5 linked regions of the Ovis aries genome follow. The main gene of each other region encodes a partner of the protein of the gene in region 2 in a complex. Links are inferred from orthologs where the notes say so. Each region holds a gene or a part of one and is shown on either strand. Other genes may lie near its edges. The genes, in order: CPLX1, VAMP2, NAPA, SNAP25 and STX8.

Region 1 (3,509 bases), on a different chromosome or scaffold from region 2:
TGACCCCAGGGGATATTTGGCAATATCTGGATACATTTCAGGTTGTGAGGTTGGGGGTGGGGGCATGGGGCACCCCATGGGGCACCCCACCCCAGACAGCAGGAAGGGGCTGCAGGAAGTGGGTCTGGGGCCTGGGGGCCAGCGAGGGCCATTGGGGGAACCACTCCAAAAGGTCAGGGGTCCCACCTGTGGGGGCAGGGGGGCGGGAGGGGGTCACCTTGGAAGGCCAGGTTGAGAAGGGCTCTGCAGCCACGGGGGACCAGGCAGGGCCAGGGGATGTGATGGGGGGCGGCGTCGGTGGGTAGGGGGCTCCAGGCGCAGAGCTCATCGTCAGGATGTCTGGGGAGAGAGGGCAGTGGTGACCCCCACCCTGGATGGCCGGGGCAGCCTGTCCTTCCATAGCCGCGCTGTCCACCTCTAGGGTCTTGTGGGCAGAGCGGGCTCCTCTCTGTTGAGCTGGAGGCTCCTTGAAGGAGGTAACCAAATTCTTGGAGACCAACACTGAGGCTGTGAGGACCTGGGGCTTTGGGGCTCTAACATCCAGAGTGCATCAGACCCTGAGCTGCCTCCGACCCATGAATGGGGGCACTCATCATCAGCCTGTCTCCCCTGAACACCGACAGGCCTGGCCCCCACCTGTCAGACTCAGCTGCGTGTGTCGGCATGCTCCCCAACACACCACACCTTCCCTGCAGGCTGCCCCCAAGGACCAAGCCCTGGCCCCCTCGTCCCGCCTCATCCTCTGGTCGCAGAAGCTGGGCTTGGGCTGGTAAGGAAACTGCGGCCCCAGCCCCTGCATGGGGTGGGGCCCAGCTCTGACCCCTGCCCAGGCAACTGAACTCAGCAGACACCATCGTGCCCCATGGGCGGGTGAGACCAGACCCTGGACGTGCCCAGGAAGGAGGCCTGGGCCCAGCAGGGAGACCGTCCACCGTGGCTGATGGAGCCGCGGTGGGTCTGGGGACTGCCAGGGTCCAGAAGCGGCCTGGGGTCTGTGGAGGCAGTTCAGAAGCAAAGGCACTCAGCCCACCCACGGGGGTCCCAGATGGGGGTGATGCTCGTCTGGGGAAGCAGCACCACTGTCCAAGCGACCCCCGGGGCACCAGGCTAGGGGGCCGTGGGGCTCTGCCCAAGGCTGCAGCCTTCCGTGCTGTCGCCCTGGAAGCTGGGGTCCTGAGGGTGGGGGTGGTGAGGGTCGCCCTGCCCCCTGGCCTCCCATGGAGCTGCCCGCAGGGTGGGGACACACCCTCCATTTTCACTGGGACTCACTTTGTGACTTGTGAGTGCCACTCGGTTCCCTGAGGAAGAAAAGGACGCTGGAGCTGATGCCTGTTCACTCACTCACTCGTTTGCTCAGCATGCAAGGCCAAGTGCAGTCAGAGTCCCTGCCCTCCCTGCAGGGGATGGACAGTGAGCAGCAACCCAGTGAGAAGTGTGTGTCAGAGGAGGGGGGCTTCTCAGGTGGCTCAGCGGTAAAGAGTCTGCCTGCCAAAGCAGGAGGACACCGGAGACTGAGGCTGATCCCTGGGTCGGGAAGATCCCTGGAGGAGGAAAAGGCAACCCACTCTGGTACTCTTGCCTGGAGAACCCCACGGACAGAGGAGCCTGGCGGGATCGCAGGGAGCTGGACGCAACCGAGTGCGCAGGCATGCTCCCAGATGAAGGCCGGTGCGGAGCGAGGAAGGCAGGAGAGGAGCGCAGAGGCGGCAGGGCGGCGGGGCCTCAGGGAGCCCCAGAGCGCAGCAGCCAAGCAAAGGCCCTGGGGCAGTGGGAGCCCTGAGGGGCAGTGTCCCCACGCCCCTGGGGCTGGAGCCCCAGGGAGATGGGGCCGCTGGACAGTCTGAGGAGGGGAGGGGCAGAAGGGGCTTCCTATTACAGGCAGAATGCCTGAGCTGTCTCTCTGCCTTCTGGCCCCTCCCCGCCCATGGCTGCCTCCCTCTCTGCTGTCTGTGTGCTCTTCCTGGCCCTTCCCCAAAAGGCTCTGAAAGTCTTGTGGTTGGTCCTGGGGGTGAGGGTCTCATCAGCTGCTGCCCCAGCACAATCAACTTAAACTTTCTGCCCAGAAAGGTGTCCAGTGACCAGTGACGGGACACCAGGGTGCACCCCACCCTCCATCAGCATGGGGGCCCCCGTGGGCCCAGAGACCTGCAGGCGCCCGCCTGTGTCCGCATCGCAGAGGCCCTGCGAACCAGGCAGGAGGGAGGGGCTGGGGACTGTGGAGACGCCCTCTGGACGACCCCTCTGCCCATGCCCGGTCCCCTCCCACAGGCTTCAGCCAGTGTCTGGAAACACTTCCCTCAGGGCCCAGAGATGGGAGTGTCAGGGGGAGCAGGACAGAATTGAGAGGCAGCACCCCCAAACTGAGTCCCCCCCCCCAGGTCTCTGGGTGGAGAGGCCTGGCCCGTGTGGACCCCCGAGTGGTGCTCAAGGCCCAAGACGCTGTGGACCGTGGGAGGCCACGTGCTTCAGGACATCGTGGGGCCCTGGGGAGGGCCCTTGCTTCTCCACCTGGCCTGCAGGCCGGCCCACCCTGGAAGAGGCAGGAGCAGCTGCCCCATGCCTGCCCTTCCGACCCACAGCTGGGTGGGCACCTGAGGGTGGGCAGTGGACAGGCCCCTGGGGCCCGCAGCTGACAGCCTCCCATGTCTGCCCCTGCTCTGGCCTCGGGTCCCGGCCGGGTGTGTGCGCATGCCGTGCACACAGAGGAAGGTGCCAGAGGGTTCTGGAAAGATGACCTCGAGCTCCCAGCCCACCCCCAGCCAGCCCACACAGCCACAGACCTGCCCCCAACACCCTGTCATTCACCTCAGGGGCCTAAGGCCCACCCGGGCGGGGTCAGGGGCATCCTCCAGCCCAGGACGATTCACCCACCTGCAGCCCGCCGGTGGGCCAGCCCCTGGCCGCCCTGCCTCTCCTCTCCAGAAGGGCCTGCCCTCCAAGTCCCTGGGGGCAGTCCTGGGGGCAGCCACGGGAGCTTGTCCTACAGAAGCCAGCACGCCAGCCCGGGATCCTGGGAGGAGGGGTCCAGCCCCCGCCACCGGAGCCAGGAGGACTCGGACCGCAGGGCGAGCCCCAGGCCCGGTGAGCGTGTGCAGACGCGCGCGCTGGGACGCGGGATCTCCCCCGCCCGCCCCCTCCCCGGGGGGCCCTCCGCGAGGTCCGTTCTGCGAGCCTCGGAGGAGGGCGGGCGGCGGCCCAGCCCGGCTTCGCCCAGCCCTCGCGCAGGCAGCACCCCCAGCCCGGCCCCGGCCCCCGGTGCCGAGCCGCCGCCGCGCCCACCTTGTCGCGGATGCCCTGCCGCACGGCCTCGCGCTCCGCCTCCATCTTGGCGTACTTGGCCTTGCGCTCCTCCTCCTCCTGGCGCAGCGCCTCGCGCCGCTCCTCCTCCTTCTTGGCGGCGTCAGGGTCCTTCTCCTCGTCGCCCCCGAGCATCTTGCCCATGTCCTTGGTGGCCCCTGGGCACAGGAAGGCGGGAGTCAGGCCAGGCCCGGCTTCTCCTTGCCCTGCGC
Region 2 (4,005 bases):
AGGCTCCCCACCACCTGCAAGTAATGTCATGCAAATGAAAGTGTGATACAAGGACCAACAGGGACTAAATCCTCAGTAAAAAAAGAAACACAGGTTGAAAGACTGAACAGAAAAGTGATGGGAGGGAAAGGAAACCAAAAGGAATGTCAGTAGGCAAATGGATGCTAATTAACATGCTAGAAGCTCCCAGAAGACCATGGGATTCTTAGGACCAAGAGGGACCAGTCTCAGAGCCTCCCAATGATGCAAAGAAAATGCACCTAGGGAAGCCTGGACAGTTGCTTTTTGTCTTTTTTGTATGGGGGTGAGGGTGGGGGGTGGGGGTGGAGGTATGGGGAAGGCCAGGGTGGGAGGAAGGGTCAGCTAAATCCAAGGGAAGGAGAGGAAGAGGGACTATTGCATAGCAGATGCAAATGAAGGAGACTTGGGGTTGGTCAAGAAGAGAGGGAAAGGGAAGGAGGGAAAGAGGAAAAGGAAGTGATGAGAACCTCAGGAAGGGGTGTTAAGGACAACTGGAAAAAATCTTCTAGTAATAAAACTACAAACAGACCAAATATATATAATATTATATATGTATAAATAACAGCTGGCTATTTACAAGGGGGCGCACACACGACACACACACACGGATCCGGGGGAGATGGGGCTGGAAGATATGGCTGAGAGGTGGAGGAGCGGCTGGGGGTTGGGGGGAGAGGCCCTTCTCTGGGCAGGGCAGGCTCCTCAGGGGTTTAAGAGCTGAAGTAAACTGTGGAGAGGGAAAGAGAAGGAAGAAGACGGAGAAGGGAGGAAGAGAAAGAGAGAAAGCAGTGTGTCAGCCCAGCCCTGCTCCCACCTTCCCCACCTCCCAGCTAGGTGACATCCCTTCCCCTCTTGGCCTCAGGTTCTTCACCTGTAAAGCAAGGAATCTACACAGATTGGTTCCCAGATCTCCTCAACTCCATGGTATGGCCTTGGGGCCACAGATCCCTAATCCTCTGAGACCACAGCTCTCAAACAATGGGGTGGTTTGCTTCCCAGCTGTTTCTCAAGCCCCTCAGTCTCTGCTGCTCTCCCACTCCCCAATTCCAGGTTCCCAGTCTATTATGCTCTTCCTGTTTTTGAAAATCTTAACAGAAATGGCCCAGAATCAGGCAAAGTGCAAGCTAAACAACTTCAAGGTTTGGGGCTCTAGATGAATCAGAACTGCTACTGGCAACCATATATACTTTTTCCTAAATACTAAAATCTAGGTTAATGACCTTCAAAACCCAGAAACCGCAGGGGAACCCTCTCCATGAAAGGGCCCTAGCCACTCCCACCCTACTCACCGATGATGATAATGAGGATGATGGCGCAAATCACTCCCAGGATGATCATCATCTGGGGGTGAGGGGGAGGCTCAGTGAGACAGACCAGGATACTCCCATTCACCCCCCACCTCCTCCCTGTCCTCCCACCTGCCTCCACCCTTACCTTGAGGTTTTTCCACCAGTATTTGCGCTTGAGCTTGGCTGCACTAGTTTCAAACTGGGAGGCCCCCGCCTGGAGGGCGTCGGCACGGTCGTCCAGCTCCGACAGCTTCTGGTCCCGCTCCAAAACCTTGTCTACGTTCACCCTCATGATGTCCACCACCTGAGGGAAGGCCCACAAGGCAGCGGTGTGTGTGCCAAGGTCCATCTCAAAGGGCACTCCTCCACACACCATGAGCTCACACAGGGAACAGGCATCATGTGGCCTGGCTAACATGCCAAGGACATATACAGAACATGCCTAGCACACCAGAGAAATGCAAGCAGCACACAGCAGGGGCATGTGGTATCCACACTGCTCAGATGTCACAGCACCACTCTTTATTTACTGAGCCTCAAGCAGCCTTCCGTTCACCAGAGCATCCACCCAGGGTGAAACACCTCAGGTTAGCCAGGCCAACATCCCCACGGGCCCTCCCATACTTGCACGCTGACAAGGACGGGCCATGGTATATTTTCGTACCCAAACATGAACTGCCATCACCCCCCAACCCAAAATGGACCCCCGTGTCGGTTTGTCAACCCTCAGGGTCCTTCCCACTGTTTCTGACACCACCACCTCCACTCACCTCATCCACCTGGGCCTGGGTCTGCTGCAGTCTCCTGTTACTAGTGAGGTTTGGAGGGGGCGCAGGAGGGCCTCCCTCCCCAGCCGGGGCGGCAGGGGGGGCGGTGGCAGCGGTAGCCGACCTGAGGGGCAGGGACGGATTAAGAACCAAGGCCTGCAGCCCTTGGCCCCGCAGCCAGGGCTCCGCCCATCCGCCTGTCCCTCCATCCGTCCCTCCCTTCCTTCTTGCCGGGTAGAAAGCCACTCGATGCGAGCCCTGGCCTCCGTCCGGGCCCGCGGGCGAGCTGCTGCGTGACCTTGAGGGAGGCCCCCTCCCCCTCGGGCCTCAGTTTCCCCGCCTGTCAAACGAGGGCGACCTCACAGACACGGTCTGGGGTGGACCCAGCAGCGATGATAGAGGCGGAGCGGCCAGATGGGGAGTCCGCCCCCTCTCGCGGTCAGCCTCCGCGCGGCCAGCCCGGGACGCGGGGCTCTCCTAATGCCCGCGCGCAGTCACAGGCGCCGGCCTGGTCTCGGGACGCGGGGCGCGTGGGGGACGCGAGTCGAACCCCGAGCCCTCCCCAGGCCTGGGCCTAAGGGCGGCGGCCAGTGCCGGCCAGGCGGTGCAGGTGCGGGCGCCGACTCACATGGCGGGGGCAGCGGGCGGAGGACTTGGCAGCGGCAGTGATGGCGGCGGCAGCGGAGGCTCGAGCTGGCTCCGACTGGCGCTGGCTGCCCGGGACGGGAAGATGGCGGCCGCACGTCACCCACATCCGGGCACTGCGGGCGGGGGCGGGGCGCGGCGGGCCACTAGTCGGCCGCCGGGCCGCGGGGGCGGGGCGCCGAGGGCGGGGATCGCGGCCTGCCAGGTGGCGGGTCCGGCGCCGCCTGGCCCCAGCCTCTCCCTCGCTGCCTGCGAACCCTGAGCCTGGTGGCAGGGCTCCCTACACCCACCACTAGCCCACCGGGTCTGACCCCAGCCCTCCCCGAGGTCCTCGCGGTCCCCCTGCCCCCACCGCCTGGCCCTTGAGGCGCCCTTCAGCCCCAAACACATCCTCCTCCTCGGTGAAAGCCGTCAACCTGTCCGCACCCCACGCAGCCCCAGGTCCCAGCCTGCTCCCACGTCCCAGTGCGGGTTGAGCAGCCTTGAGCATTTGGAAGGAGCAGGGGGGTTGGAAATCAGAAGGAGCAAGTGCAGGTCGGAGGCAGTGTGAATAGCTGGGATCCTGGGAGTGGTGGGAATTGATCCTCAACCCTCTGCCTTGCGAGTGGCTATCCAAAAGGAGGTCTGGGAACCGTGATAGCAACCCCCTCCTCGCAACTGAGGTTCAGACCAGGGTTCCTTGGCAGGCGAGGCCTGTCTGAGGTGGGGCAAGCTTGGGAACCCGGGAGAAGGGCACTACGCTGCCCTGTGGGGCCGCTTCATGTGGTGGCTTCAGACTGGCAGAAACCTAGCTCTGACCCAGAGTTGAGTAGCTACCCTGGCAGCCGGAAGAGGGCTCAACCTCTGATCCCAGGCACAGGGCTAAAGGACAAGGCTTACGCATTTTGTTTTGTTTTATTTTGTTTTGTTTTGGCTTTTCTTTACCGGGATGGAGAGTAAGTGGGCAAGGGCGGCACCTGCGGTACGCAGGGACTTGGTACTACTTTACCTAAGGATTAGCCTCATGCGTGTGACATAACAGCTCCTGTCCTACCTCTAGACCCAAAATGTATTAGGTGTGTCGAGTCTATACCTATATTTGTTAAATGTCTAGATGTAAGACATGGTAGGGAATTATCCACAGCCCTTTCCACACCTGGTCTCTGTTTAGGTCGTCTAAACTGGCCCAGCATCTCTCACCCACCCACCGTGCTCTTTCCAGCAGGAGTGGCCCCTCAGGAAGGAGGCGATGGGTGTAAATGAGCTGCCTGTCCGGTGGGTTGTGACAAGCCTCAAGAGTGAAG
Region 3 (4,254 bases), on a different chromosome or scaffold from region 2:
GATATACCTCATCGTGTGTGTGTGTGTGTGTGTGTGTGTGTGTGTGTGTGTGAGAGAGAGAGAGAGAGAAAGAGAGAGGGAGGGAGGGAGAAGGAGATTCATGGTGTGTGTGGGGGTGTGGGGGTGTGTGTGGGAGGGTGGAGGCAGAGAAACAAAGAGATGGAGGCCAGGAGACTTACCTTCTGGAACTACAAGACCTTCCAGGCTCATCCTGTGCAGTGTCCTAGAACCAGCCTTTTATCCAAGGAGCTCTCGTTCCTTTTGTTGGAGAACAAAGAGTATTAAAAACTAAGATCTGGGCGCTAGATATAATTGAACCTAAATTTTTAACAGTTTCACTAGCTTTTTTTTTTTTTAAATGAAACCAGCGTTAGACAACCTCTGCTCCCCTCTGCATACCTCTAAGACATTGCAGGTTCAGTTCATAAATAAAGCCAGACACATGACTTTCCCTTTGTTTCCCAGTGCATGTAAGTTATGTTTACACTATGTGTGTATGTGTGTCAGTCGCTCAGTTGCATCCGACTCTTTGAGACCCCCATGAACTTTAGCCGGGCAGGCTCCTCTGTCCAAGTAACTCACCAGGAAAGACTACTTCAGTCTATTAAGGGTGCAGCAGCATTATTTTAGAAATGTATAATTTAAAAATATTTTATTGCAAAAAAATGCTAATCATTATCTGAGCCAGTCTTAATAATAACATCAAAGGTCACCAATCACAGGTCATCCTAACAAGAGTAACAAAAAACTTTAAAATATTGTGAGAATTATTAAACGTGGCATTGAGACACTAAATGAGCCAATGCTGTTTGGGAAACCGCACAGCTCTGAGAGAACTGCTTAATGCAGGATTGCCACAAACCTTCAATTTGTTTTTTTTTAAAGTGTATCTTGGAAGGGCAAGAAAGCAAAGCACAATAAAATGAGATATGCAGCCTTCTCTGGTCTTCCCAAACCAATTTCAGCATAGGTCGACAGAGGGCGCAACAAAACGGAGACCGCTTTCCTTCTTACCCACGGACGCCTTTCCAAGTGAAAGAGACCTTCAGGAGGTAATGAGAGGAGGCGGGGACTAAGCTCTGCGCAAAAGAGCTGTCAAACCCAGTCTTCCGGCATGGAGCTATCACGTGACGATTAGGGATCAGCTGACTAGGGTCTAAATTCCGCAGGGAAGTCAGACGGAGCCAAAGGCTGAAGTTGATTGGTGGAGCAGGAACAAGCCCAGGAGGCGGGTCCTTGGCGCTGAGGGCTACGATTGGCTTGTGCGGAATCACGTGGGTTATCAACCAGCGCACCAGGCACCCTAAGACAGATACATGCGCATGCGTTAAAAATTGGATCGCTGATTGGAGGCCGTGAATCACGGGGCGGCGTGCCTCGGCTGGAGAGGGCGTGGTCTGCGGTGCGCACGCCGCGCTACGAGGCCGTTGGTTGGCCAGCTCGAATCACGTGGTTCCTGGCCGCAGGAGGCGCGCGCCGGTGCGACGTCAACGCAGCCCACTAAGCTCCCCCGACCTGTCTCCTGCGACCCGGTCGTATCTGAGTTCTCCGAGGGCAGGGCTCCGGCGGTTTGCTGAGTACTTTTGCGGCCGCTATGGACAACTCCGGGAAGGAGGCGGAGGCGATGGCGCTGCTGGCCGAGGCGGAGCGCAAAGTGAAGAACTCGCAGTCTTTCTTCTCGGGCCTCTTTGGGTAAGAACCGCGCGCAGGGGTCGGCCGGGACCTCGGCTGAGAGGACGGAGGAGTCATGCTCTGGGGCGGCGGTAGAGGCGAAGGGCTCGAGCCTAGAGGACGCGGGGGTTTGCGGGCTTACGGGCATGGTCTGAGGCAGCAGAGGGTACAAGCCATGGCCGGGACGCCGGACTGTGGCACTGACAGCGTGATTCGAGGAAAGACTGTCCGAGACTGTGGCAGGGCCGTGGGCTGAGGACACCCGGGCCGAGGCGAAACCATCTGGAGGCAGGAAGGGGCCCCAGGCTGGAGACGGGCCAAAGGGCCAGGGGAATACGGCCTCAGGCCTTGAAGGGAATGTGGCCTGCGGGGACCGAGGGAGCCTGGAGGGAAGCCAGGCTAGGAAGCCTTTTGGAGCTCAAGGAGAGCCTGTTTGAAAGATCCCAGACGGGAGTCTTGGGCCCTGAGACTGAGGACTTATGCCTGAGGGCGTCCCTTTTCCGAGACCTGGGGTGATGGACTTACGTGAACTCTGGCCCGGGCGTCAGGGCTAAGATGATCCTACGATTGATGGACCCAGTCTGAATTGCGTGAAGTGTCTCAGGTGAATATGGCCCAGGTCACAGGTGACTAGTGTAAAGAGACCTGACTGCCAAGTGAGATCTGAACAGAGGAAGCTCTGGGGTGATGGAGTGAAGGCCGAAGAGGGCTGGGAGGCTGGAAACTAAGTGGGAGTGAAGCTTGGTTTAGGAACTGGTGGGATAAAAATGAAAGATGAGGGAGATAAGAAAACCTAAGGGGCCGGAGGCCTGCTGTGTGATCTTTGAGTAAAGATGGGGCATGCAGTGTGAGCAGAATGAGACTGGCATGCCCAGGTTAGGGCTGAAGGGGGCTGGGAAACAGAATCAACACCTAATGCTTGTGGCAGACATTTCACATGAGTTCATGTTGGCTCATAAGAGTTGTTCTGATGACTGTCGTTTGAGGAATTTTAGTGGCTGAGGAGGATCAAAAGCTCAGGTCAGAAGCCTAGGCTCTGCCATTTCTTGACCTTGGGCAAGCTGTTTAACTTCCCTTATTATGGGGAAGTGGTGTCTCAGAGAAACCTGTCTCAGGCATTTGCCACTAGTATTGAAGTAGGGCACGCGTAAAGGGTGTAGAATTGAGCCTGGGACGTGGTTATCACTCTGAAAGTGTTAGCTACCATCAGTGTCATTTCCGGGAAAGAAACAGGTATGGAGCCTGTTCGGGACTGATGGGGATCAAGGTGGGGGTTTGATGGGCGGGACTGATGGGGATCAAGGTGGGGGTTTGATGGGAGAAGTGGGAGGGGGGCTGTCAGAGCAGGGAGAGGCGATGTGATGAGTAAGGAGTTGAAAGGGGTTGGGGAAGGAATTCGGGCCATGGGGACTTGATAGGGTTAGGGGAAGGGGCTTGAGACCTCCGGTGGAGAGAGAGCCAGGGAGGACTGAGGAACGTTGTGTTGCTCTTGAAACTGGGAGGAGAGCTGCAGGGGAACAGGCGGGTGTGTAGAGAGTTAGGAGGAACTGTGAGGAGGGGCCATGGAACCTGGCAGCAGAGAGGCCAAGGCTGGGGACGGGGTTTGCGGGGGAAGACTGGGGCTTTAGGAGAGACGGTGTTAGGAGGTTGGTAAGAAATGAGGAGGAGGGTTCTTCCCCGGAGAGGAGATGGGAACCGCTCATTGTTACAAGTGGTGGATAATGTTTACTTATCCACCGCAAGAACTTGAGTAACCTGGCTGAGACCTCGCTAGTGTGGAAAAACATCCGGGGCTGATGGACTGTATTGATTAGGTGAGGAATGTTTTCTTTCAGAGGCTGAGAGTAGGGAGAGCGTGTCTGTGTTTCTGCTTCCTTCACAAGGGGAGAAACTCAAGTGCAGTGCTTTGTGGTGGGGCCAAGAGCTTAGTTTTCAGTCAGGTCATGGTTTTACTGGGTGGCTTTTGGTGTCTGGTCCCTGGGGATTAGTGTACTGTTGGGCCATGCTTGGAAGGAGCAGCCAAGTCAGGGCCTGAAACACTTTGTCACCTGGCTGGGAAGGCAAGATGAAGACTTGCTAACACACTAGTAAAGCAGAATTGTCACATGTGATTAAGGGCTGCATTTTATCATTGGTGGGAGGTTCCTGACCTGAGAGGAAGCTGCATGAGCTTAAGGAACTCCTTGGTGAGGAATGAGCTGGGCCCCTGGGAACCCTGGGACATGCCACAGGAGTGGGGACTGGAGAGGGTGTTCCAGGCAATGGGAATTGTCTGAACAGAGGTCTAGGGTGAGGGGAGGTTTGTCCAGAAATGATGGGGAACTGAGATCCAGAGAGACCAGGGCTGGCTCCCTGTGGGGAGAAGCCTCCACCTGGGAGGATGAGCAGGAGTTCCGGGGGTGCTCTCTGGTGGGAGAGCACAGCTCCCAACAGAGGAGGCAGCTTGAGCAAGGCCCAGATGTGTGAAGGCCAGCGTCTGAAGGTTTACTGCAGGGGGTTCTGCGTCAGCCCGTAAAGGTAGAACAGGCAGAAGGGGATGAGACTAAAGAACCAGGCCCCATCCCAGAGGGCTTTTTGAGAAAA
Region 4 (4,005 bases), on a different chromosome or scaffold from region 2:
AGATTACAAATTGTTTCGTGTTCTGAATGCCAAGGTGGTAAAGCAGAAAATTCCAGCGAGCAAACAGGCAGGGGCCATCAGAAGGTCTGTGTTAATGTTTCTTGGCAAGTCTTTACATCCATCTGCTTCTGCCTCTTCTCACTGTATTGCCCTGGATTTTTTAAATTTAAAACTTAAGATAGGAAATATCTCGATTTTTTTCCCTGAAGCTTATCAATAATGTAAATGTTAAAATTCATGTTTCAATTACATTTCTGTTTAACTTCTCAGTAAGCCATTAGCTCCATAATTGTGCACATCAACACTTCCTCCCAGATCTGTGCCCTTTGCCAGCTTCACTGCAGTCCTCTACCTCTGCCCCACCGTCCCAGTCTTCCACTACAAACAAACCCAGCAGTAATTACTAATGACCAAGCACGTAATTCCGGAAGCGTTGAGCTTTTTCATTTGTCGCAACTACGCAGAGAGCTGTCTGGACATGCAGCATGGAGTCAAAGCATTTTTAAAGACTCCTAGCCATCTTGTCTCCCCTCCTCCCATCACTAAAACACAGTTGTTTATTTCATCTGTAGACTGCAGAGTTATAAAATTCATCTATGCAGTTACATACACTTCAATAACAATTTTACATTTGTATCCAACAACAGTTGAATATATACTTACATGGAACCACATAGTTATCCATAAAAAACTGTAGAACAGTAGTAAATAAATAGCCAGGAATGAAAAATACTTTCTCTATGTGGATAGGGCATTTGAGCACCTCTAGCATATAAATGACTGGACTTAATGACTAGCCCCAATATAAGATCTTATTTTAAGGCTTTTCAAGGGATCATGCTAACGTTTATTTAATATGTGGTATCTACATTCTTACACATGATGCTGTTACTCTTATTTAACAACTACTCAGCGAGCACAGTTTTGTTCCTGGTCATTTTATATTGATTTTTGTCTATGCCAAATGGCTGGAAATATCCCTGTAACAATTTTTGTTCACTCAGAGGCTCAAAATGTCAGAGTAGAAAATAGTTAAAGTACTTATCACTGCCTCAGCAAAATCCCGCAGTGCTGTAAAGGAAATTACAGTAGATCTTTAGGTCAGAGTCCAGTTTCAGTCTAACACTATGGTCCTTCCATCTGCATCACACTGAAGGGCACGGTTGGATTCTCCGGAGGAAAACCAGTCTTAATGTTGTCAAAATCAGAAAATTATCCTGAGATAACCAATGTCCATAGGAAACACTTCCTCTCATTCTGAAATCATGGCCAAAGAGGTTAAATCTACACCCTGAAAGACCCATAATATTTCTTACAGATGTATTTTTATGGGTATGTGCTTCTGTTCATGCCTAATTACAAAGATAAAGAAGAGGAAGAGGGATTCATTATTGAAGTTGATTTCGCTTAGTTCAATTACCCCCATATTTTTTTTTATCAAATAGATATATGTCAAAAGATATAACACTCCTATAAAGAGATCGTGTTGCCATCTTCATATATACCCTTATCCATGACCACCTAGGATCTGTAGACAGATCTATTTTGTGTCAATAAATAAAACCCCTGATTTCCTACTGGAAGATAAGTACAGATCTTTAAAAATGTGTTTGTTTTCTACCTTAAAAAGGCGGGGGGGTAAGGAGAGGGAGAGAGTAACACAGAAAATTTCCATAAGTAGACTTTTTTCTGAAGCTATACAGGAGCTAAGCATGGGAACTGGTAATTGCCTGCAGAGGGGTCCGGTAGGAAGGATTTATTTTTCCCTTTTAACCTACTATGCCTGCTCTATTAGGGATATCCGAGAGATCGGAGTCTCAGAGAAGCAGTTTGGCCTGAAACTAGCCCTGGCCAGGCGTCTCTGCCGCAGGTAGATGCGGCGCTGTGGCCGGACCGCTATCCGCGGTGCTGAAAGGTGGCGGGCGCCAACGCAGTCCCCCGATGTTGCTGTCCAGGGTGCTGAGCGCGGGCCGCCGCAGTCCCGGAGGCGAGCCCGAGCCCCCGCCCCCGCCAGTCTTCCGCAGAGCCCTCCCACCCAGCACTACCCGCCCGCCTTCCGCCAGCCTGCTGTTGACGTGGAGCAGGCGGCATAAATCAAGTCTGTGGGGCATGGAGGCTGCTGTGGCGGCTGCAGCTCAGCTTGCCCGGGGCGGGAACTCCCCTTTCTTTCGCCTCCCAGCGCCCGCACCCTGCCTTCTACCTAATTTTTCCCTGGATAACAGCGCCCTAACGACAGCAGTCATGATAATAAGGTCAGAACGACAGGGTTGGTTTGTTTTCATCTACAGAAGGGGGGGTGGGGGGAGAATAAAAACAGCAGCCTAAACATCTCTGAAAACTGCATCGCAAAATGGAAGAGAGAGGGTCCCACTACTGTTTCAAAAGAGTAAGTTATTCCGTACGTATTCTTGCGCTTCCACCCCATCGCTCCATCTGCACTATCCCCATTCACCCCTTCCCTAAGCAGCTCACCTCGAAAATACTTTATAAAGCCCTAGGCGAGAGTCTAGCCGGACGCACACAGATGGAATACCGCACCCTGGGTGCACAAATTCTTGTATTTGCTCAAGCTCACTTGGTCTGCCCAGCTGTGGTCCCTTCTGGGTATGCAGCCAGCCAGTGCCAGATCCACGACCTGGGGAGGGGTCTCCTTACCTTGGCTTCTCCAGAGGGTGGTGTTCGCCTGGCCCCTGCAGGTTCCAAGTGTGGAGGAGCCGCGGAGCCGGGAGGGAAGGAAAGACAGCGCCTGACCTCCCCGAGGTTTTGTCTTCAATGCAACGTGAGCTCTGCCCTCATCAAAGATGGCCGTCCCTTTTGACGTCAGCAGCTTTTAATAGCCATCTCCTGGAGGGGCGGGGAGGAAGTGTTGAGGGGAGGGCGGGGGGAGGACGCGGGCGGGGGTGGGAGGGGAGGAGCCGCGAGGTACTGAGCGCTTGACTCAGCTCCCAGCTCGCTTTACTGCAAAGCTTTGTATTTTAGTCTTTTATAAACACCCGAACGGGACTATTCTTATGATTCCACTTTAACACCCAGGCACGGGCAAATTCATTTATCTCTCGACTGGTCTTCTGATATTGTTTTGTTTGTATAGGTGTGTGTATGTATGTGTATGTGTTATATACATGGACTATATGCGATTATATATATACAAAAAATTTCCCCTGCTGAGTTGAGTCTTTGGTTGAGTCATGAAACGGAAGGGGAAGGCAGAGGAGGAGCAAGGGGTGGGGGATTTCAGTTGCAATTTGCTTTAAAAAAAAAGCTGGTCCGAAGGGGCATCCCTGTCAACCCCCACCAGCTCCATATATGGTCAGGCTACGTGGGTTGCTATTTTTATGAGTGATTTCTTCATTTTATCAAAGTAGCATCGAGGGCTTGGAGTTCGCATTAATATGGTCAGTTGCGGAGAGAGACTAGTACACGTTATTTTAAAGTACGTCAGAGCAATCATCACAGAGATTTCAAAGGAGTTGGGGGAAAGGGTAGGGAATGGTAGGTAGTTAACCCAACCAGCGTGGGTTTGCTGAGTTCAAGGCTTGGAGTTGAGAGCTGTTTGAGGAGGGCAAAATAGATGACGCTGTTTGGGATTGAATTTGCAATCGGAGCCTAGGGTTTTATGTTGAACTTCTTAGTCCACAGAGGCGCCGTACATGCCTTATAGGATTGACTAGGCTTCTGGGGAGCGGGTAGTATGGGAACAGCTACAGGTTCAAGGATGCTGGGACGCTACAAAATTCTGCTGGTTCATTCAGTGCGCAAACCCTGGGTACCAGACGAAGCTGGCCTTGCGATGCTCAAAACAAGACGTGGGCGAGAGAAGCTAGTAGCGCTGGTCATAGGAGAGATTAAAAAGAATAATCATAAAGCAATAATCTTGTCCTTTGTTTTGTGCTTTAGGCGCCAAGAAGGGGAGGGGTGGTGGAGGGCGCATATGCAAATAGTCCCGCGGTGGCAGCCTCTCGGATGATTCATAGGTGTTGGGGAGGCTGTCTCGGGGCTCTCCGC
Region 5 (4,008 bases), about 1.1 Mb from region 2:
GTCTTGAGTAGCATAATAATAAGGTTTGAAGGGAATTTGAGAACTGTGGGGTATACTTTTACAGAGAAACTGAGGCCTTGAAGAGGTTATGTGAAACGCTTACGGCCAAAACCCCAGTTGCCTTGCTCCTAATCCTTGGTTCTCACATGAGCTCTACAAACTGGTTCTGAAGTTCTTCTATACATGTGGATCACTGTCTGGTCTGCAAGTCCTCAGTTGTGTCCAACTCTTTTGTGACCCCATGGGTTGTAGCTTGCCAGGCTCCTCTGTCCATGGGATTTCCCGGCAATAATACTGGAATGGGTTGCCCTTTCCTTCTCCAGGGGATCTTCCCACCCAGGGATCCAAGCTGCATCTCCGGCATCAGCAGGCAGATTCTTTACCACTGAAGTACCTTGGAAACCCCCTGAATCACTGGGGACGTGTTTTAAAGCTTCCTCATACCCCAAGTATTCTGATTGAATTGGCAGGGGCCTTGCCCTAGACGTGAGGAGTTGTAAAGCTCCCCGGGAGATTCCAATCTATAGCACAGCTTGAGAACCACTGGCCTAGTGGTAATGGGCAACCTGACGATGGAATCAAACACACAGGCGCCTAAAGTGCTAGTTTAGGAAAAGTAACCTGAACTCCATGTACACAAATCATTGGGAATGAAAGAAGAGTAAAGGAGACCAGTAGAAGACTTCTCCAGCTATTCAGCTCCATAACTAGCCACCAACATTTACTTCTGTAAACCATAAGGCTATAAAGGATTGGACAACAGCAGAAGAGAAAAAAATAAAAATCATGGAGATGAGTCAATAATCTGACAGGACGAATGAAGAAAAAGTAGATAACTAGAGTTTTTTAGGTTTAAGAGACTAAGAGGATGGTGACGCCATGACAGAGGCTGAGGAACTGGAATGGAGAGCGAAAAAGTGATAAAGCTGATTAACTTTTAGCAAAGAGCCTGTTCAGAGACAGTCACCATGCGATATTTCTATCACACAGTGAGCTTACCATTTGCTTTGATATGCCATTAAAAGAGTAACAGTCATATTCTACTTCCAAACATGAGTAAAGCATCACTGACATGATTCTCGATCGCAGGAGGGCGAAGCTGTAATCAAGTCTGTTTTTCTAGATTTTTCTAAGTCCTATTCCCTACTCCTTTCTGCTCTCCTGATCAGCAGCCCACTTTTCAAGGAAGTTGACTGAGCACAGCAGAGTCCCCCAGTGTCTCACTTTCAACAAACATGAGAAAGCTGCTAAGTTAAACTTCTTCAGAGTAGCAGGAGAAATTATCAGTGCTTTTTGCACGTTAACCAAGGAAGAGGCCTAGGGGCTTGGGGATAGTTTCCACCCATCTAAATGGATACCCTGGGACCTCTACCTTATTTCTGAGCTATATATCCTACCTTATGTGTAAAATGAGGGAATTAGCCTCCATGAAGTGGAGGGCAACGCAGCCATCTGTATCAAGGGCCTTAAAGATGTTCATACTCTTGGACCCAGTAGCTCCACTTCTAGGAAGCAAGTCAAAGAAGTGAGAGATGGTACCAAGGGGCAATTAAAAAAAATAAAAGCAAAAAAAACCGTAGTGTTTTTTAAAAAGGTACAAAGGGACAATGATTAAATCACACTCCATCATGGTTATTCACATGATACACTATTAAGCAACATAAAGATTGTGTTTTCAGGGAATATTTGCGATACAGAGAAATGGTCTCTGTTTCTATAAAATACATTATATACACACATATATTACACAAAGTAAAAAATTCATTTAAAAAGTCAACAGCAATTATTCCAGATGATAGAATTAAGGATGTTTCTTTTTTCTTTTTTTCCCTCTGCAAATATTCAGTATTTTCTAAATTTTTCTATCAGGGTGTTAAAATCAGGTGAAAAAAAAATAGTATGGAATCAGTTAAGCCATTGGTCCAGACAATCCAGATCCTAGGTAGATTAACTTTGATCTTGCAAAGTTAATCTATTAATATCCAGACTGTCTGCAAATTAACTATAAACTATGTTAGAAGTACTAATGTGAGACATATTCTCCAAAAAGAACTTTGTAGAGCTAGACGGTTTTTAATTAGTAAACGAAAAGCTCAAGTGAATATGCTATTGCAGTAGGTTCCTTGGATCGGAATTTGTGCCTTTCATCATTCAGTCCTAGGGACTTTACTGTTGAATAAAAGACTCTTCTCAGCTACTGTTTTACTGCATAAGTTGCTGCTGTAGACAGTCTTCATGATACTGAGGTGAGGACAAAATACCTTATCAACAACAGGCATAATTTCCTTCCCAGATTCCTGTAAGTTTTCTTTGAAGGGCGCACAAGATCTAGACCCCAGCGTCAACTGGTTACTAACTCGCTTACTCCCGTGAATTCTGAACCTCGGTTTCGCTACCGGCGAAATAAGGAAATTGACCAGAGGGACTTGGGTTCCACCAAAAAGGTTACTCTGTACTTCACTTTCACAGGAGTCCCGCATCAGCCAGCTCCACCACCAGGATGGAGATGCGGCTCAGAGATTCGGCGCTGGAACTCCTCCAAGTGTACACCGCGTCTCCCACCCCAGCCACCCCTGCAGGACCGAGAGTGGCGGCGGGATGCGACGGAGCGCAGCCCCTCAACCCCCGGCTCTCGGCGGCAGCAGAAGGATCCCTGCTCCCCCACCCCTCATTCTGAAAGGCCCCCGGCCCCAATGCCTAGCGATCACCCGCTCCCCGGAAGCCTGGCCTCCCCCGAGACCGTCCGCGCGCTGCCGCCCTCACCCGGGGCTCACCAGGGGTCCGGGGCCATGGTGCAGTCTCCGCCCGCAGCTCGGACACTTCCTGCTCGCAGCAGCTGACTACGGCGGCCCGCGCGGCTCACACCCTGCGGCTCGACCCGTGCGCGCCCGGAACTCGTAGTTTGCAATATACATACCCTAAGGCCTCCAATCTATTGATATGAGAAAAAGGAAAGCGCTTCCCCGGGGACTGAGGGCTGGACCAGTTTGCGTCCTAAGAGACGCGAACAGCTGGGTGCAATTAAAATAAAATTGTTTTCGAGCAAAATCCCATCATTTTCCCCGGAAGGTGGGAGCCCCTTAAGACCTCTAGCAGTTATTTAACATTTTATTCTGCTTAAAACAAAGAAAAAAAACTGGATTGTGGTGATAATTGCACAATTGTATAAATTTACTAAAACTCAATTTAAATAAATTTTAGGATATGTAATTTATACCTCAATAGTTTGTTTGTTTGTTTTATCCTGCTTCAAGGGACCCAAAGAAGTGTCAATTATATATTATAGCAGCCTTGCCAGCAGAGGCACTTAACTTTGTCTAATTTTTAAATGCCATCAAGTATTTGATTATATCGTTACCCAAAAGGTCACAGACTCTTTACATGGGGGAGGAGGGAATTAGTCTGTCCATTTCGTGCCCCTTAAATTTCCAGAGAAATACTAGAAAATTTAAAAAGAAAAAAAAAAAAATGCCCTCTCGATTTTCGCGAGGGCAAAAGGACTCGGACTCCGTAGGCCGGCTTTCAGCGCGACCGCGGATCTAGCGCGCATGCGCAAGTCCGTTACCATAACGACCAGAAGACGCTGCACCTTCTGTAGGCTGAGAGGAAAGTGAGCGGAGTCTCCAGATGATGGAGACCCAAACTTCGCCCAAGGATGAGGTGGCTGAGGCAGTAGAGCTGGAGCTTGAGGCCGTGATCGGATTCAATGGTGAGACCTCGAGCGTGTCTGGGCTGGGTGGTTTAGGGACCCCAAGGACAGTGTGGTGCAACCAGGGAGAGTGAGACACCAGGTGGCACCTGGAAGGCAGCTTGGGACGCTGGCATGAGTCAAGCACTGGGGACCCAGACAGCCTCTCCTCCCCAAAGATCTTAGAATCATGTCCTCGCTCCAGGCCTTAAAGAATGGGATGGGTTTTGCAAACGTCTGAAAGGAACCAAATGCCCCCTCACTAGGCCATAAGGATAAAAAAAATGCTATCTGAAACCGTTCTCGCACTGGCCAGCTCT

What was found.
Region 1: the proteins of VAMP2 (region 2) and CPLX1 are in contact, whole or in part, in a crystal structure (PDB 1KIL), measured with the Rattus norvegicus proteins. The link is inferred for Ovis aries from reciprocal best matches to the Homo sapiens genes VAMP2 and CPLX1. Residues at the interface, in NP_036795.1 of Rattus norvegicus: Arg47, Val50, Asp51, Leu54, Asp57, Gln58, Ser61, Asp64, Asp65, Asp68, Ala69, Gln76; in NP_074055.1 of Rattus norvegicus: Leu41, Arg48, Tyr52, Glu56, Arg59, Glu60, Met62, Arg63, Ile66, Arg67, Tyr70, Gly71, Ile72.
Region 3: the proteins of VAMP2 (region 2) and NAPA are in contact, whole or in part, in a cryo-EM structure (PDB 3J97), measured with the Rattus norvegicus proteins. The link is inferred for Ovis aries from reciprocal best matches to the Homo sapiens genes VAMP2 and NAPA. Residues at the interface, in NP_036795.1 of Rattus norvegicus: Gln36, Ala37, Asp40, Glu41, Val43, Arg47, Val50, Asp51, Leu54, Glu55, Gln58, Lys59, Arg66; in NP_542152.1 of Rattus norvegicus: Arg116, Thr118, Lys122, Ser157, Ser159, Ser160, Lys163, Leu197, Tyr200, Ser201, Lys203, Arg239, Ser268, Ile269, Arg271.
Region 4: the proteins of VAMP2 (region 2) and SNAP25 are in contact, whole or in part, in a crystal structure (PDB 1SFC), measured with the Rattus norvegicus proteins. The link is inferred for Ovis aries from reciprocal best matches to the Homo sapiens genes VAMP2 and SNAP25. Residues at the interface, in NP_036795.1 of Rattus norvegicus: Asn25, Thr27, Ser28, Asn29, Arg30, Arg31, Leu32, Thr35, Gln38, Val39, Glu41, Val42, Ile45, Met46, Asn49, Lys52, Val53, Glu55, Arg56, Lys59, Leu60, Glu62, Leu63, Arg66, Ala69, Leu70, Gly73, Ala74, Gln76, Phe77; in NP_112253.1 of Rattus norvegicus: Gly131, Gly132, Phe133, Ile134, Arg135, Arg136, Asn139, Leu150, Glu151, Ser154, Ile157, Gly158, Leu160, Arg161, Ala164, Leu165, Met167, Gly168, Ile171, Asp172, Gln174, Asn175, Ile178, Asp179, Ile181, Met182, Ala185, Asp186, Asn188, Lys189.
Region 5: VAMP2 (region 2) and STX8 share a complex: the UniProt entries of both Homo sapiens proteins name them as parts of the SNARE core complex. The link is inferred for Ovis aries from reciprocal best matches to the Homo sapiens genes VAMP2 and STX8.

The regions. Positions count from the first base shown.
Region 1 is NC_056059.1:118,209,471-118,212,979, reverse strand, and holds part of CPLX1 (complexin-1), read right to left. Parts: intron 3,456-3,509; coding exon 3,280-3,455; intron 1-3,279. UniProt on the Homo sapiens protein: Positively regulates a late step in exocytosis of various cytoplasmic vesicles, such as synaptic vesicles and other secretory vesicles.
Region 2 is NC_056064.1:27,613,608-27,617,612, forward strand, and holds the start of VAMP2 (vesicle-associated membrane protein 2), read right to left. Parts: upstream 2,810-4,005; 5' UTR 2,708-2,809; coding exon 2,706-2,707; intron 2,202-2,705; coding exon 2,081-2,201; intron 1,615-2,080; coding exon 1,456-1,614; intron 1,363-1,455; coding exon 1,311-1,362; intron 749-1,310; coding exon 732-748; 3' UTR 1-731. UniProt on the Homo sapiens protein: Involved in the targeting and/or fusion of transport vesicles to their target membrane. Major SNARE protein of synaptic vesicles which mediates fusion of synaptic vesicles to release neurotransmitters.
Region 3 is NC_056067.1:54,244,467-54,248,720, reverse strand, and holds the start of NAPA (alpha-soluble NSF attachment protein), read left to right. Parts: upstream 1-1,447; 5' UTR 1,448-1,594; coding exon 1,595-1,692; intron 1,693-4,254. UniProt on the Homo sapiens protein: Required for vesicular transport between the endoplasmic reticulum and the Golgi apparatus. Together with GNA12 promotes CDH5 localization to plasma membrane.
Region 4 is NC_056066.1:3,295,098-3,299,102, reverse strand, and holds the start of SNAP25 (synaptosomal-associated protein 25), read right to left. Parts: upstream 2,804-4,005; 5' UTR 2,656-2,803; intron 2,253-2,655; exon of another isoform or gene 2,097-2,252; intron 1-2,096.
Region 5 is NC_056064.1:28,677,266-28,681,273, forward strand, and holds the start of STX8 (syntaxin-8), read right to left. Parts: upstream 2,804-4,008; 5' UTR 2,792-2,803; coding exon of another isoform or gene 2,775-2,791; intron 1,506-2,774; 5' UTR 1,481-1,505; coding exon 1,398-1,480; intron 1-1,397. Other genes in the region: CFAP52 (cilia- and flagella-associated protein 52), read left to right, coding at 3,628-3,709. UniProt on the Homo sapiens protein: Vesicle trafficking protein that functions in the early secretory pathway, possibly by mediating retrograde transport from cis-Golgi membranes to the ER.